2 linked regions of the Xenopus tropicalis genome follow. The protein of the gene in region 2 purifies or fractionates together with the protein of the main gene of each other region. This does not show direct contact. Links are inferred from orthologs where the notes say so. Each region holds a gene or a part of one and is shown on either strand. Other genes may lie near its edges.

The links. The genes of interacting proteins can lie anywhere in the genome.
Region 1: the proteins of ogdh (region 2) and dlst fractionate together in Homo sapiens (co-fractionation; 3 studies listed by BioGRID). This does not show direct contact. The link is inferred for Xenopus tropicalis from reciprocal best matches to the Homo sapiens genes OGDH and DLST.

Annotation. Positions count from the first base shown.
Region 1 is NC_030684.2:82,185,750-82,193,771, reverse strand, and holds part of dlst (dihydrolipoyllysine-residue succinyltransferase component of 2-oxoglutarate dehydrogenase complex, mitochondrial), read right to left. Parts: intron 5,544-8,022; coding exon 5,510-5,543; intron 5,437-5,509; coding exon 5,388-5,436; intron 5,297-5,387; coding exon 5,241-5,296; intron 5,117-5,240; coding exon 5,042-5,116; intron 4,129-5,041; coding exon 4,073-4,128; intron 3,945-4,072; coding exon 3,833-3,944; intron 2,348-3,832; coding exon 2,192-2,347; intron 1,949-2,191; coding exon 1,872-1,948; intron 1,407-1,871; coding exon 1,309-1,406; intron 1,064-1,308; coding exon 933-1,063; intron 1-932. UniProt on the Homo sapiens protein: Dihydrolipoamide succinyltransferase (E2) component of the 2-oxoglutarate dehydrogenase complex. The 2-oxoglutarate dehydrogenase complex catalyzes the overall conversion of 2-oxoglutarate to succinyl-CoA and CO(2).
Region 2 is NC_030679.2:126,368,780-126,376,801, reverse strand, and holds part of ogdh (2-oxoglutarate dehydrogenase, mitochondrial), read left to right. Parts: coding exon 1-55; intron 56-4,167; coding exon 4,168-4,356; intron 4,357-4,853; coding exon 4,854-4,947; intron 4,948-5,248; coding exon of another isoform or gene 5,249-5,351; intron 5,352-8,022. UniProt on the Homo sapiens protein: 2-oxoglutarate dehydrogenase (E1o) component of the 2-oxoglutarate dehydrogenase complex (OGDHC). Participates in the first step, rate limiting for the overall conversion of 2-oxoglutarate to succinyl-CoA and CO(2) catalyzed by the whole OGDHC.

The DNA.
Region 1 (8,022 bases), on a different chromosome or scaffold from region 2:
TGATCAAGTAAATATTTACTCAACAGTGTCATAAGCTTGCCATGAAGATTTAAGCACAATAATTCTTGTCAATAAAAAAGAGCAGAATGGGGTTTAGAGATAACTATTCATGAGTAATGGGATGGAATTTTAAAATGTGGTAGTTATTCTAGTCAATTTTAAGATCTAACCTTGTAATCATCACAAGGTCTGTGCAGGACCAAAATGTTTAGAGTGACCTAATTTGAAAAAAGACAAGGCTATAGTATTCCTTAGAGCTAGGTGAACTTGTATAAAGTTTGGCACTACAAAGTGGAAAGACTGATTTAAAGGAGAAATGCTATATATATTATATAGTGAACTTATCACATCAGCCTAGAGGGTCAGCATCTCTAACAGTAATGACCCAGGTCTTCAAAGTTGTCACAGGAGCTCCCCACATTGGATCTTGTTAGAAGTGTCAGTGACACTCACATGCTCAATGAACTCCGAGCAGCTGCTGAGAAGCTAAGCTTAGGGGTTGTCACAAATTATCAAGCAGAAAATTAGGTTTGCCTGTCATAGAGGCTGATGCTACAGGACTGATTAAATTCTTATTGTAGCTGCACTGGTTTCAGAGATGCCATTTACTAACAATCTGTATTATTTATTAATTAGCCTTATATCACCACATTTATACTCTGTAAATACACTATATTGTGCATCAGCCTTAATCTCAGTAACTGACAGCAGCACAGAGCATGTGCAGTGAATCAGAAGAAAACAAGAGCTATTGGGGCATCTATCTATAGACACAGATCTTCCCTGCTAAAGGGCTACCTATTTGGGTACGATTTAGTTCTCCTTTATGGTCCTGAAACTGCTGGATAATAATGCACACACTGACAATTAGAATGGGTACCAATATGAGGATTTCTGACCATGTCAAGAATAGAAGGCATAAATTATCTCACCTCCATTGACTGCTGGCTGATCCTGCAGGGCAAAGGCTGAAGCTTTAACAAAGGCTGACATGAATCCTAATTTCAAGCCATGTTTCTTCAAGAAAGAGTCTTTGTGCATGGATCTCATCTGATGAATGTTACTATGTATAAGATAGAAAAAGTTAATGGTAGAAAACAGATGATATCCTTGTGAAAGAAGTTACAAAAACAATGAGCTAAAATGTTGTACTTATACAAATAGGTTATGCTCCTTCAAAACAACCAACATCACATGTTCCACCTACACACTTTGGTCCCCTCACACACCAGAACAGCCCCTGACACACACACACACTAACATACAGTGCTTCTCTTCTTCTCCCCTTCCCCTACCAATTACACAGACCTCATATCAACTTCATTGAAAGTTGTCAGCATGGCGCATGTGTTCTGTGCTTCTTTCAGCCGCTGTGCAATTCTCTGACGCATTCGGTTCATCTTGACCTTAACGTGAGTGCAAAGGAAACAGGCCTTACTGAACTAGATAAACACTGTCCGCTTCCCACAAAATAAAATACTACTAGGAGGAAATGGTACACTATGTAACACTACATTGCAGGAGGACAAAAACAAACAAGTGTTTTCCACCTCATAGTACCCTGGCCAGCCCTTTTACACAGCCTGGTTCCCACTCACATGTATATTAGCTGGCTGATGAATAAATATATACATTATAGCCTTATCATGCAGGTCTCAGTATGGTCTTTTGATAGTTGCCATATAGATTATGAAGAAAAGATATGCACTCCATAAAGTCAATTATTGTAATTTATTGTAATGTTCCTTATTGGATCTGCTCAGGCATGTATGAACTAACACAGGCAGATGCTGTTTAAAAACAATTTGGAAGCACAATACAGGAGAACCAAACAAGATTTATAAACCAGTCTGTAACAGTTGCATACTTACCCTATGCTCTGATCGTGCACTTGCTGGCTGAGTAGCATCAGCCATAACAGAAGCAGAAGATGGCTTTACTGCAGACACTGCATAATAAAATAAATTATAAATGTCCACACTGAGCTAACAATTCTTTCTCCAAATAACATGGCATCTATATAAAACATGTTCCCTTCCAATCACAAATCTCTTCTTTAACACATCAGTGAACATATATAATCATCTTCAATATAACTAGATCCCTAAAGACACAAATTCTATAACATATGTCTGCAAAACTACTGCATTTGCAGTTTAGATAAAACAGAATGTACCCTGCCCCCCATTACCAGGTTTGGTCTCCAAAGGCTGTGCAGATACAGGAGGCACCGGTGGGATGACAGTAGGAATGGGCCCAGATGAGGGGTCAGAAGGTGTAGGTGGTTTGGGTGCTTGGGTAGGTGGAGTTGCCACAGTCTCAGCTGGTTTGGCCTTAGAAGGAGCAGCTTTTTAAAGTGTGGAGAAAAAAGAAAATCAAGCAAACATACACATTATTATTACACCCCCAACAAACCAATGAACCTTGTGCCATTTAAGACACATTTTTTGTGTATGCATTGTCATGCAAGAGCAGTAGTAAGTAGCTCTAGCATTGTAAGGGTAAACATAAGAACATTTGGTCTCAAGACACAAACCCCATAAGTAATAAAGGGCACTATGTTTGCCCAGGAACAAAAACCCACAGCATCCAAAACAGTGTTTGGTTTTAAACAGGTGACCAGTAATGCTACCTACTGAATGGTTACAATGGGTTACTTACTGCTCCTGGGCACTTAGTGCCTTTTATTACATAACACCATAGGAGACTCGATAAGAGATTCTAGCATGGGGCTGTGTAATTAGGTGGCCAGACTGGTCAGGTCCAGGTCATTTTTCCAGTTGGTTTCCTTTCGAACTAATGATCTAAGGAAAGAGTTACGGGACATCACATAGATTACAAAAATGGATCAATATACCCTCTGACTTAAGTTTCACATGCTGATTATGAGGCCACATGATTATAAATGATACCCACCAGGGCCATCTTATACCCATCAGGGAAGGGTTCTGAGGGGCTTGATTATCAGAAACCCCTCATGTTAGGTACCATTCTGACTGCCCACCTACACAATATACAGCATGACAATATTTTGCTGATATTTGGTACTGATAAGTACCATTAAAGTATTGCAGAAACTGGCCTGGAACCACGAGTATAAATGACTTGATCCTGTGCATTCCTACCCTTTAACAAGAGGACATGTCCAAGTATGAAAACATAAAGCAGACCCAATCTCATGGTATTTAGTAAGCAATCTGAGGATCCAAATGTTAGACTGCATGCAGATTTTTTGCTTCAGGAGACACAAAGGGAATTTCTAGCCAGTAATGCATGTGATTTTATTTACATTTTGTAACTTATAACTTTCTATTACTACGTCCCTATGTAATATCTAATTTTTTTACATTAAAGGTTAAAATTTTATAAGTTTGTTCTTAATGCTCTAAACAAACTCATAGCCTGTATGAAAGCATACCTTAACTCTCAGTGTGCTGAAAGTAATAGTTTGTTCACGAATATGCTACTTAACCATTTGACTGCTGAAAGAAAGTTTTCTGAAAGTTTTCTGCTGGAGTGCTTTGTGAATCACTAGAAGCTAAACCTCTGACTGCTGTCATACAGTGTTGATAGGTATGAGTTGCCAATTTCACACAGCCTGAAGTAACTATGTGTGGTGGCAGTGAACTTTTGTAGGTATTAGGGCTGTCTTAGGGGTGCAATTGCACTAGCTAGATCTGTGTGTACCAGGTGAGTGACAGACCGAGTGCTGGAGTGTATAATTCCTTACAGCCTCACCCAACATCACGTGCATCTGAAGCATATATTTAGCTCTTTTTTTCTTTTCGTGACCATCTCATCAGCTTCGCTGAGTGACCGATAATTCACATACCTCCAGACTTTTTCAGCACAAATAGTGGTGTTCCTCCTTCAACTTTTCCTCCATCGGGGACAAGAAGAGCCTCAATTACCCCTGCAGATGGGGATGGTACCTGAACTGAGGTCTAAGAGTACAGGGTTTCATATAAAATGTTAGGTTGTTTGAAAATAAATAAATAAATAATATATATATATATATATATATATATATATATATATACACACACACATTTGTTGTAATTTGCACACAAACCTTATCAGTTTCAATCTCACACACCACTTCATCCTCAGAGACTGTGTCACCAACAGCTGCAAGATACAACATAGAATTATCAATAGTGGCACAAAACACAAAGGTTTAGGCAAATAGCTGCATCAGAACCGGTCCAAAAGTTAGTTAAAAGCAGTACTGGCCATTTTGCAGTACAACAGCACTACATGGCAGGTTTCAAACAGATAAACACTATTTTATTTCCTTAAAGGAACAGTAACACCAAAAAATGAAAGTGTATAAAAGTAACTAAAATATAATGTGCTGCTGCCCTGCACTGGTAAAAGTTGTGTGTTTACTTCAGAAAGTCTACTATAATTTACATAAATAAGCTGCTATGTAGCCATGGAGGCAGCCATTCAATGGAGAAAAGGCACAGGCACATAGCAGATAACAGATAAAACACTATTGTATTCCACAGAGCTTATCTGTTATCTGCTATGTAACCTGTGCCTTTTCTCCTTTTTTCCAGCTTGAATGGCTGCCCCCGTGGCTACACAGCAGCTTATTATATAAATTATAGTAGTGTTACTGTAGCAAACACACCAAACGAAACCTTGTTTCGTACGATATTCGGTGCGTGTATGGTATGTTGGTGAGTCGACCGATATTGCAGGAAGCTGCTAATATCGGGCGACTCGCCGATCGGCGCCTGACCAAAATCTCCCTTCAGCGCTGAATCGGCAGAAGGAGGTAGAAATCCTATTGTTTCTACCTCCTTACCTGCCGATTCAGCCCTGAATGGTGTGTGGCGGATCTGACGATGTTTCGTGCGACCAAACATCGTCAGATCGCCACGTGTATGGCCAACTTAAGTGACACATTGTAGATGAACCACCCTATTAACATTCTCATACAGACTACTGGTCTATAGTCATTTATGTAAATAGGCAGGACTGGAAATGATCAGCGTTTTCCATTGCTTAGGTGGAGGTATAACACCATACTTACCCTTTTCCCACCTGACATCTCCTTCCGTTACAGACTCTGCAAATGCTGGAGTATTGACAGTAACCACATCCTGCCCTACACATCAGCGTGGAAACAGTTAAAAAGACAAATAAGCATATAAGAAAACATATATTATTTGGACTGCAGCAAAAACAATGGAGTAAACTGCACCCCCCAGACTACAATTGTGCTCACTCACGGTAAACAAGAGAGGTTCTGTAGAATCGCACTTGGCTCAGAACAGAGCTAGATACTCTGAGGAGTAAACAAAAATAAGAAAGGAAAATAGGAGAAAAATATCTGAAATAAAGTGTATCTAACACCATTAATTTTTTGTTAGACTCACCTGGGCTTCTGGCTGTCAGTAACTGGTGTTATACAGCACCCAGATATCTCTAAAATGCAAACAAACAATAAATCACTCACAAATCCTGAAATCGACTGTGGACACAGATAAAAGATACCCACCTACAAGAGGGCGACTCTGTGCCTCACCAGGGCCCTAAGTGCCAAAGAGAGAATAAAAAGTTATTTAGTTTCGCATTAGAGCAAGCAATTTAGGTTAAGATCAGCTCATTTGGCCAGGTGATCTAATGACTAGACTATAGGGCAGATTTACCAAAGCACGAATTCGAATCCCAAATAGCAAAAATTCGGATTGGAAACGAAAATTTTGCGACTTTTTCGTCGCCGTTGCAACTTTATCGTATTTTGCGCGACTATTTCGTCATCGTTGCGACTTTATCGTATTGAACGATCGTAAACTGCGGAAAAACCTTTCCGACTTTGCATGATTTTGGAAGCCTCACAGAGGAATAAATGGCACTCTGCAGCTCCAACCTGGCCCAAGGAAATTCACGATACTGAAGCTTGAATCAATCCAAAACTTTCATACTCGGCACAACAATACGATTTTTTCGCTATGGCGACAAAAAAGTCACCAAAAATATACGAAAAAGTTACGACGGCAACAAAATATTTGCAAAAATACTGTATATTTGGCGCCCAAAGAGCAACACGCTCTTTGGCGCCAAATACTGTATTTAAATCCTGCTCTTTGCACACACTTGTTTCCCTGACGAAGGTTCTAGTAAGGAACCGAAACCTTGGACTAATAAACCTCACCTTATTGCATCTGGCTATGACTTGCTGTCTGTGAGTATTTTATGCAAACCCTGTGAGTGTCGACACTTTTTACCTATATATATATATATATATATATATTAGTCTAATTGTATAACTGAATATATTTCATTACACCTCCTTTCTCCTTTGTGTGTACGAGTATGGATCAGTGGCCCTTATCTAAATTGATTAACAGGGTGCTCTCAGGAACAATTGTAGTGATCAATTTAACCTTAATCACTTGCCCCTGTTCCCCATGAAAAACCTGCAACATCCTGTGTCACACACGGTCCAATCCACTCATTCAGTGAGGTTGCCAAATTGGGCATGTCTCCCGATATGCCCACCTACGGGTGAACAATACCAGGATAATTTGACAGTTTGGCTCTATAGCCAAAAAGTTTAAATGAAAATGGTGGGTATACTGCCTGTCGGTCCAAGGACTGCATCAAGGAGCCAATATGTAATTCTAGGCAACTTTTTCATATATGTTAATCAAATCAAATTTTTTGAGTGTTTTTTTTAAGGTATTTGTAAATAAAATTCCTACTGAAAATAATTTCTGCTTGTACTGGTTTGTATTACAACTACTGAGGGGTCACCTGATCAAAAGCTGTACTGAAATTTTTTTAATGATGGAAAGATTGTTTATATCCGGCACTGACTGAAATATCAATTTTATGCTTAGGTGCCCCTTAAAGTGGACATTACTCTTACAAACCATGGATGATTTGTATAGCTTTTCTTTTTTACTAAATGAAAGATATTGTTTATATCTGGAAAATGCTTTTGCTCAAACATAGTAACTTGATTGGAGGACACTTTTTTTGAAGTTTTTATTAATGTTTGTAAAAAATAGCAAACATAAAGCATCGCTTTTGTACTATAGACACTCAGTGTACAGCTGTTGAAAAAGTTAAGCTTGGGGAGCAGTCAAAAATTATCACAACTGAAGCAGAAAGTAAGTAAACTTGGATTTGTGAGGCAATTTTTTAAGGGTCAGTGACACTGCACGTGCTCAGGGTGCTCTGCGCTGGTGGTAAGAAGCTAAGCAAAGGGGAAACTATCAAAACATTAAGAGAAAGTGATATGGCATTTGTCATAATATTGGATACAGCAGTGCCGATTACTAATTTAATTTTATATATATATATATATATATATATATATATATATATATATATATATATATATATATATATGCTGTCTTCGTTAATTACTAATCAGAAAGGGGAACATTTTCTTGAGAATTGTGTACATTGTAAGCCAGTCCCTAAGCTGCAGTGAGAGCAGCCCAGAGCATGTGCTGTAAATTGACAGAAGTGGTTACCAAAAGAGCTTACAATTTAAAATGTCAACATGAACTTGTTAATTTGATGACACTTTCGTTTTTTCTGTACTTTTTGCAAATTTTGGCAAATATCTTAAAAACCATAGCACTAATAAAAGAGCCAGGAACTTAGTTCACAATCTATAGATGGACTAACAAGAAAGACTGGCAAGGCGATACAAAATAATTTAACAACTGGAGAGTAGCAACAATCTGTCAATAAAGATTTCATTTAATTTCTTGATTTAAACAGACTTATCTAGATCAACATAGTTCAAAAAAGGATAATTTATATGCCCCAAATGTACTTTTCCAGTGATTGAAGTGCCATAGATTGAAGATAGCAGCAGTTCTGCAACAAGGGGGGAAATACTGTTAATTTTTAAACAAAAGCTCAAGGTTTAAACAGTAAGCCTGTTTTTTTGTTACAAAGCTCTCTTTTTCAGTTCTCAGGTTGAGACATTTTAGAATCACTAACGCACCAATAAGAGTAAGATTTAAAACAGCCAATACAATTTTGAGGACT
Region 2 (8,022 bases):
CTATGTGGAGGAAATGTACTATGCTTGGCTAGAAAACCCTAAGAGTGTCCACAAGGTAAGGAAGGCGAGCTGGTATTCTGCTGCTTAATGCCTACTGCATGCCAGAGCATAACCAGGGCATGAATGGGGCAAGCTCCAGGCATGATAACGTTGCTGCCACAACTGGAAATGGTCATCTGCTTTGACAAGAGAACCTTAAGGATCATAAAGATTGCCCTAATGGAGCTTCATGTCGTCATCTCAATGGCTGCAGCAGGAGAACCATGTTTGTGGATTAGACAGCTGCCAGTTGTGTTGCCCAGACCAGTTCATGGTTCTTTAAATTGATATAGCCCAAGCATTTTCAGAAGGGGTCTAGCCATTACAGGGAACACTGTGTCCTTAACTGATTAAGATGTTGGTTGTACTATTAAAGCATATACTCCTAAGAGATTGGGAAGCAACCATGATGTGTTTGAAACAGCATAGCAGAAGCTAGCGCATTAACCGCTATGAAAAAGCATACAAGCCTGACTTCTGCTATGCTGTTTCAGGAGGTATATCCGGCAGTGCAGAAACTAGCAGACAGGTGCTGCTAATAATAGAAATAACATATACAGAACGTTTGAACCTCCCAGCATGTTTAATGAATATATATTGTACAAATTGCTGAGGATTCAGTTTTATTTTTTTTGTTAACATCCCCTTTAACCCTATCCAACTCATTGTACAAACTCCCTTTCTACAAAATGCTGATGAGTGGTGTAAGCAGCATGGTTCAGAGGTCATTTGTTTAGCTTTTCATTGGATAGTTTTGGCTGGGGTGGAGTAGAAGCAGACAGATCTGGAGACACCATTTCAGATGACCTGCAGAGAATCATTAAGTATTTGCAAGCATTCCATCCTGCTGCCCCCCCTTCCCCCCAAGACTGTAGCCAAGCAGTATGGCAGCTCATACTCATTTTATACAAAAATACATTGCAGGTAACACAACCATTTTAGATTGTAGATGTGGGATAAATGTTTAGACTCGGGAGGATTTGGGGGTCTGCTTGCAAGTTGACCATCATTGTCAGTGTATAGAGCGTATTGTACCCTGGGTTAGACCACTGTTACATTAACTTGTAGGCAGTACTATTGTGAGACAATATGCAGTTGGGCTTTTTTTTTTTTTTCTCTTTTATATTTAGCTTTTTTCCAGCAGCCCCCCAGCTGGGAATTTTGGCAGTTATCTGGTTGCAAGAGCCCAGTTTGTTGTTGTAGCCAGGCAGTTGTGTGAGAATGAATAGAAAGTTTAATAACAAATCTAATTTGTAGCCTCACAGAGCAAGACACTTTTTTTATTGATGGGTTAGTGACCCCATTTGAAAGCTTGAAGGAGACGAATGCTATACAAAAAAATTTAAAGGTTGCTGGGGATATGGCTTTCTATAGCCTACTCAGTTTACTTTGAAGGTAAACTTCCCCTTTAACCCTCTAATCCCCCAGGCAATTAATAGCTGCAGACATTTTATCCTCACAGCAAATGCCTACACTTATGGGTGCGGTTGATGATCCGATGCCTGTTGCTTAGAAATGTTAAGCCAACGGCGAGTGAGCCTTCTGTCCTGGCAACCAAAATCTTTATGCCGTGGCTCTCCGTGGGAAGGAGACGCACATGGTGGCATCATCCCTTCGTGGTAACTTAGTTTTGGGAATTCAGTGCCCAATTTTGTTGGTTCTTGGTGGTGAAGTTTTCTTGTAATATAGATTTATAGCTCCCTAAGCTTTTGTTGCCTTATGATCTAAGGGAGAGGGGTATTTCCTCATGATAGTATCCAAGTACTGGGGTAAGAATTACCTGCCTAATGTTACTCTGTGCCAGTGCCCAGCTTGCAGCCGGCTAGCAAGGTGCATCTGTTCAAAGAAGGGCTAAAACACTTGATGGGCCTGTATATTCACCCATATACATTGCTGGAACAGTCCAGGCATGAAAATCTTTAAATACCTGCTCACCGGGATGTGCCATTTGCATTGGAATAGTTACACTGACTTGCCCTTTGGGCTGAATGTAAGCCTAAAAATACTCTCCTACTGTGCTTCACTATAGTAAAGTGCGTGTTCCCTGGGTTGGGCCGTTGTGCGCTACTATAGGAGCCATTAGCAGAAGGTGTGGCAGGCTCTTGGAATAAATATACCCAACTGGTTTCATTACATAATTGCTGGCTACAAGGAGAAGAACTTGATCAACACCATTTCTTAAACTGGCCCCAAGGATCAGCCTTATTAACAATGTGTGGGGTGGGCTAGGTGGCTTTTTATGATGGTGGTTCTTACAGTGAATTGTAGGTTGGTCATTGTGGATCTGTACATAGTCCTGCGGTCTGTCCATCTGTGCTCACCCAGTGCAGCTCCAGATAATAGCACCTGCTCATTATTTCAGCTGACAGGAAATAATGCACTGTAATAGGAAGGGGTGTGGGGGTGAAATACACACCCCCTGTCATATCATTGGCTAATATAGCGTAGCATGCATGCCCTTGTGTCAGCACAGTGCATAATATGAGCCAGGGGGGCTACGGAACTGGCAAATATTAGTGATGAGTTTTCCTGTTTCGCTTTGCCAAAAAGTATGTGAAACTGCAAAATTACGCAAAACGCATGGAAGTTAATGGGCTTCTCTTTGCAGTTACCACAACTTTGTTTTCATGGCTATTAGAGTCTATGGGTGTTTTAAGGCAAAACGTTGTGAAATATTTCTCTTACCACTAGCACATTGTTAGCCTTTTCATAAAAATATTTTTCTATTAATACACAAGCCATGGATATGCTGTAAATGATATCCTTATAAATAGCCATTAGTGATGTCATCCATTATAATCAGTAATGTCATTTCTGTCACTGAGGACTTCTAATACCCTCAGAGTTTCATGACCTGTAGAAAAGCACTCTGCCTTCATGCCCATGCTTTTATATGGTCATGGAACTTTTTTTGTTTAATAGGGGGTACATTATTCACACTATATATAAATATATTTCTTCAAGAGAGGGTGTAATACACCCGCGTGTATGTTGAGGGGTATAGTTTCCCTTTGCATAAGACGGCAGTGGTGCTGCTCAGGGTTAGAAGTCACTCAGTCCTGGCTGGTTTGTACTGGAATTAATCCTACGTCATCTCTACCTGGCTGGGCTCCAGTGTGAGGCTGGAATGCCGTCTCACTCACAGGCCATTACGGCTATTAACTCCTCTCTGCTGGGATAGGACTGTACCACTGCACATTGTGTTTTCCCTCCACCGTTCTCTTTGGGTGATTTAACCTTTTAAGGTGCAGAGTTCTCTCTCAAAATAATATTTTTGAGGTATTTCTGCTTAATATTTCACATTAGGTTTCTTATCTTGCATTTGTCTGCACTCTAGGGATACCATAACATGATCTGTGTTATAACCAAGCCCCCTGGGTCAGTGTGGCAACCTAGCCTGGTAGAGGAAGAGTTAACAATGGCAGTCATGTGTGATGGAAAGACTGCAAAGGAGCGCCTAGGAATTGACATGGGAACTGATCCCAAACTCCGGCAGAGGACAGCCTGTCCCTTGTGCCTTAAAGTCACTTTATTATTGACAGAGCCGGTGGCACAATGAGTGGGAGCAGTGGCTAATACATACAAACCAGCCTGCTCCGCCTGAGGAAAGCCTATACCCCCATTAAATTTACAATATGCCCCGCTCTGCTGGCTCTCCTGGCCATCAGGACTGTAATTACTGTCAAACAAGATACCCTGACCCTCTCACATTCCCCCACTCACCCTTCTCATGACTCCCCGGCAGGCCTAAAATAGCAGCCATCCCCTGACCTTGTGGTTGGCCTATAAACTAGCACTCTAGCTAGCAGCCTTTTCTTTACTTTCTCTCTCCTCATGGGGCTTCCATGCCAGCATTGTGTACCCCAGTGCCATGGGGACCTAACGGAGAATGTTAGGAGTGCAATAGGTGCTGCCATAGTGCAAATATAGGCCTTACAGCTGTGTACATAACATATAGCGTGGTTGCCTTCTCTCCAGGGACTCTGTGTTCCAGTGCCAAAGGGAAATGCCTTGCTGACTGTATGAGAGTGCCAAATCCTTTATATCCATACCAAGCCCGATTGTGTGATGAAATAGCAAGAGAATTTACTGTGGTAATGCATACGTTTGCTTCTTTTCCCTTTTTAGTCATGGGACATCTTTTTCCGCAACGCAAATGCTGGCGCATCCCCTGGTGCAGCTTACCAGAGCCCGCCTCCTCTCGGCAGCAGCTTGTCCACCCTTACCCAGGCCCAGTCGTTGGTGCAGGCCCAACCTAATATAGACAAGCTTGTGGAGGATCATCTCGCTGTGCAGTCGCTCATCCGTGCTTATCAGGTACAGAGGATCCTATTGTGCCCAGCTTTATACACTTGCACTGAGTATCTCAGTCTTTGATTGATAGTTGCATTGCAGAAAAGAGGAAAAAATGTGCATTTTACTTTTGTTTTGTTCCCCCAAGCGTCTGTAAAGTTGCTGCACATTTCGCTTGCTGGAATCCGCCATTGCCTCTCTTGCCGAGTGGTCACAACTTTAAAGTCTCCCGTTTGTTCTAATCCCATTGCAGATTACAAGAAGTTAGCAGGGGGCATGGCCTAGCACCTCAGGGGTGTGGTTAGTTCAATGTAGCTTTTTCTTATATGACTTTCTTATAACTGTCGTGAAATACATCTCCCAGCATCCTCAGCCTGCAGCCGATGGCTAGGAGCTTGTAACAAAGAAGGCAACCAGTGGGTTTTCCAGGGGATTTTCATGGCACCACAGTTTGGGGGGGGGGGGGGGGGGCTGGAGGAAGTGTGGCCCATCTTTTTAACATGTTTTGTCATTGCTTCCAGGTGAGGGGTCATCACATTGCAAAGCTTGACCCGCTTGGAATTAGTTCTGTTAATTTTGATGGGGCTCCGGTGATAGTCGGATCTCCAAATATGGGTGAGAATCATTTTGTCAGACTTGTTGTAACTTTTTCTCTTTTTCCTGTGCTTTTTCCTCTTCTTGTTATCTTTACCTTTCTGTGTCCTCTTCACCCAACTGTCCCTTTCTGTGCTTTGCCACCTTTCCATCCTTTCTGCCTCTTCTCCTCCCCTGCCCCCCCCAACCTGCCTTCCCCTGTATCTGACTGCAACTCCCACTCCATGCTTATCTGCACCTGCTCCCAATCATCTTCCTACTGTTCCTACTGTCTATTTCAACCCCTCCCATGTCCTGTCCTTGGAACCTTGAATTCATATAGATCCGTGGGCACCATGTTGCTCAGCTTGACCCTCTTGGCATTCTGGATGCAGATCTGGACTCCTGTGTGCCAGCAGATATTGTCACTTCCTCAGACAAACTCGGTAAAGGCTAATGTGCTAGTGTCACTGCTTCTGCACCTCGCCATCACCACCCCTGTCTGTCTGACTACCCCCCCCCCCCTCCGCTCGCTAGAATACCAGCCACGAGATCACAACTAACAGCTGCGGGGTCTGTGTGCTGATCCTCTGGGGCCCCTATAGGTCCCGCACAGGACCCCTCTTGGCGTTTCAATAAGCAGGCCTTGTGTCACAGTAAAAGTAGCACTCATTATTGCTCTTCACTCCACTCTACTGTAGAGGTGACAATCATTGGCATCAAATAGTAAAAGGGAGGCAGATTCTACGATTTCATTGGTTTAGAACATGTGGGTTTATACTTCATGAAATCAATCTCTTCTGTTTCCATCTATAAACAAACATAGCCACATCATTTATAGAAAGGCCGGGCATAATATCAGCAGTACAACTCTTGAGACAGTGGAGAGGGTTTACATCCAGCAGAAAGGTGCTATAACCCCGGGACCCCTCCATCCTGTAGCTTGCCCCCCAAAATAAACAAGCTGTTAGTTTGACCTCTGTCTGTTGAAAGGGATTATAACTCTCAGGCTATCACGCTGCTGACAAGCTAGCACGACTAACCTAGACTAGTGCATCCAGTAACCAGCACTAACAGAATATTTGGGGCATAATGCATGTAGTGTGTGTATCCGGCTGGCGCCGTGTCTGCTTTGGGTGTAGGGCATGTTGGTTGGTGGCATGTCTGTGTGTGGTTTGTTTGTGAGTACAGGAAGCTGTACTGTTGGTGTATGTACATATGGCCACCAGGCATTTACTCTCATGTTTGCCAATTGTTCTGGAGATTGACTCTGTTCTGCAATGGACTGTGGACTGCTAGACAGTACTTGCCCTAGGTTAAGCTGTGAGGTGTTCCGGAGCTCTCCAGTATAACTTGTATGACTCCAGGTGCCACTCTTTCCATTGTGAGTTTCCATAAGTGACAACGCCACAGTTAGACTGTCGGTTCATTCTGGTCAGAACTGGCCTAGTACAGCTATCCCTCGGCTCATTCTGGTTAGAGCCAGGTTCCCTTCCTATAGTGCATTATTGCTGTCTGGAGCAGTGGATCCTACCTAGTTACCCTTCTGTGGCCCAGAGTGTGATGCACCCTCCTGAGTGGAAGCCACATTTTTCCAAGTGCCATCGGTATCCTTCATAGATCATAAAATAGTCATGTTGCCTTCCTTTCTCTCGTACAGTAGTTCTGCCATGCTTTATGGCACAATCTAGGATTATAACAGCATTTAGACCATGTTTGCATCGCTGCAGGATTCTGAGCCCTTATCTGGATTAATTAGTACAGTGACTGAGATCTAGAACGCTGTTCCCCCTTGAGCCGATATATTATAATTAGTGCAGTGCTGCCACTGCCAGCCCCTGTTATGTCATACGTTAACGGTAGTGAGTATTCGTTAGTGTCGGAAATATTTCCAAGCCTCCTGGCACCACTGTCTCCCCAATGTAATCCACACAATGATGCCCTGTAACCCATGTTGTGTTCCTGGAACCAGCAGGTAAGAACCTTGTGCTTGAGAGGTTATAGGGTGCACGGGACACTACAGCTGCTGCAGGGCTACACTGGCCAAACACATACTGATAACAACAGCACGTTGGGGGGGAATTATATATGTTATAAAAAAAAAAAATAGAATGGTGTCCATGTATTACCCCGCATACAGTATCCGGCCATTCAGTCTATGGGATAATGTATGTGATTGGGACCGTTTCAGCCCTCCGCATCATTTTTAAAAAAACGTTTGCCCCAGGTAATGCAGTTTTATACATTGTGTTCCGATCTTTAAAAAAAAATTATGGAATTTTGTTTTTTAGTGAAGGATTATTATCGTTTGGGGTGAATCCAAAAAATAGTTTTTGGCATCTTACTAACAGATTTATTTTGTGTACATATTGAGGGTTTTAGTTGTTGGTTACTATGAGCAGGCAGGATGAAGGCACTGACCTATAGTGAGCTCTGGTGCATGCTGCCTGCCCACAGCAGCACTCACGGCCAATAAGCAGTCAGAAGGATACACGCCTCACCTTCACTCAGTCACCACCCCATCTATCCACTCACATGCATAAACCCATACTGACCTATCTATACACTCACATACAGACCCATACTGACCTATCTATCCCCTCACATACAGACCCATACTGACCTATCTATCCACTCACATACAGACCCATACTGACCCATCTATCCACTCACATACAGACCCATACTGACCTATCTATCCACTCCCATACAGACCCATACTGACCTATCTATCCACTCCCATACAGACCCATACTGACCTATCTATTCACTCACATACAGACCCATACTGACCTATCTATCCACTCCCATACAGACCCACACTGACCTATCTATACACTCACATACAGACCCATACTGACTTATGTTGCTTACAAATAAGTTTCTTATGATGTTATGCTATAACTGCCCCCGTGGGCCTGGAATGACAAAATCGAGTCTAGGAGGAATTTGTCTCCATTTGACTATGGGAGGGTTTAGTCCACAAGCAGGAAATGGTTCAACAGATCCTAGTTGGATGTCGGTAAGTATCACAGTCACTTCATAAAGAGCTAAACCTTTGCATACAGGCACAGACATGGGATAACTGCACGTGTAATGTTTATCTGCCATTGAATT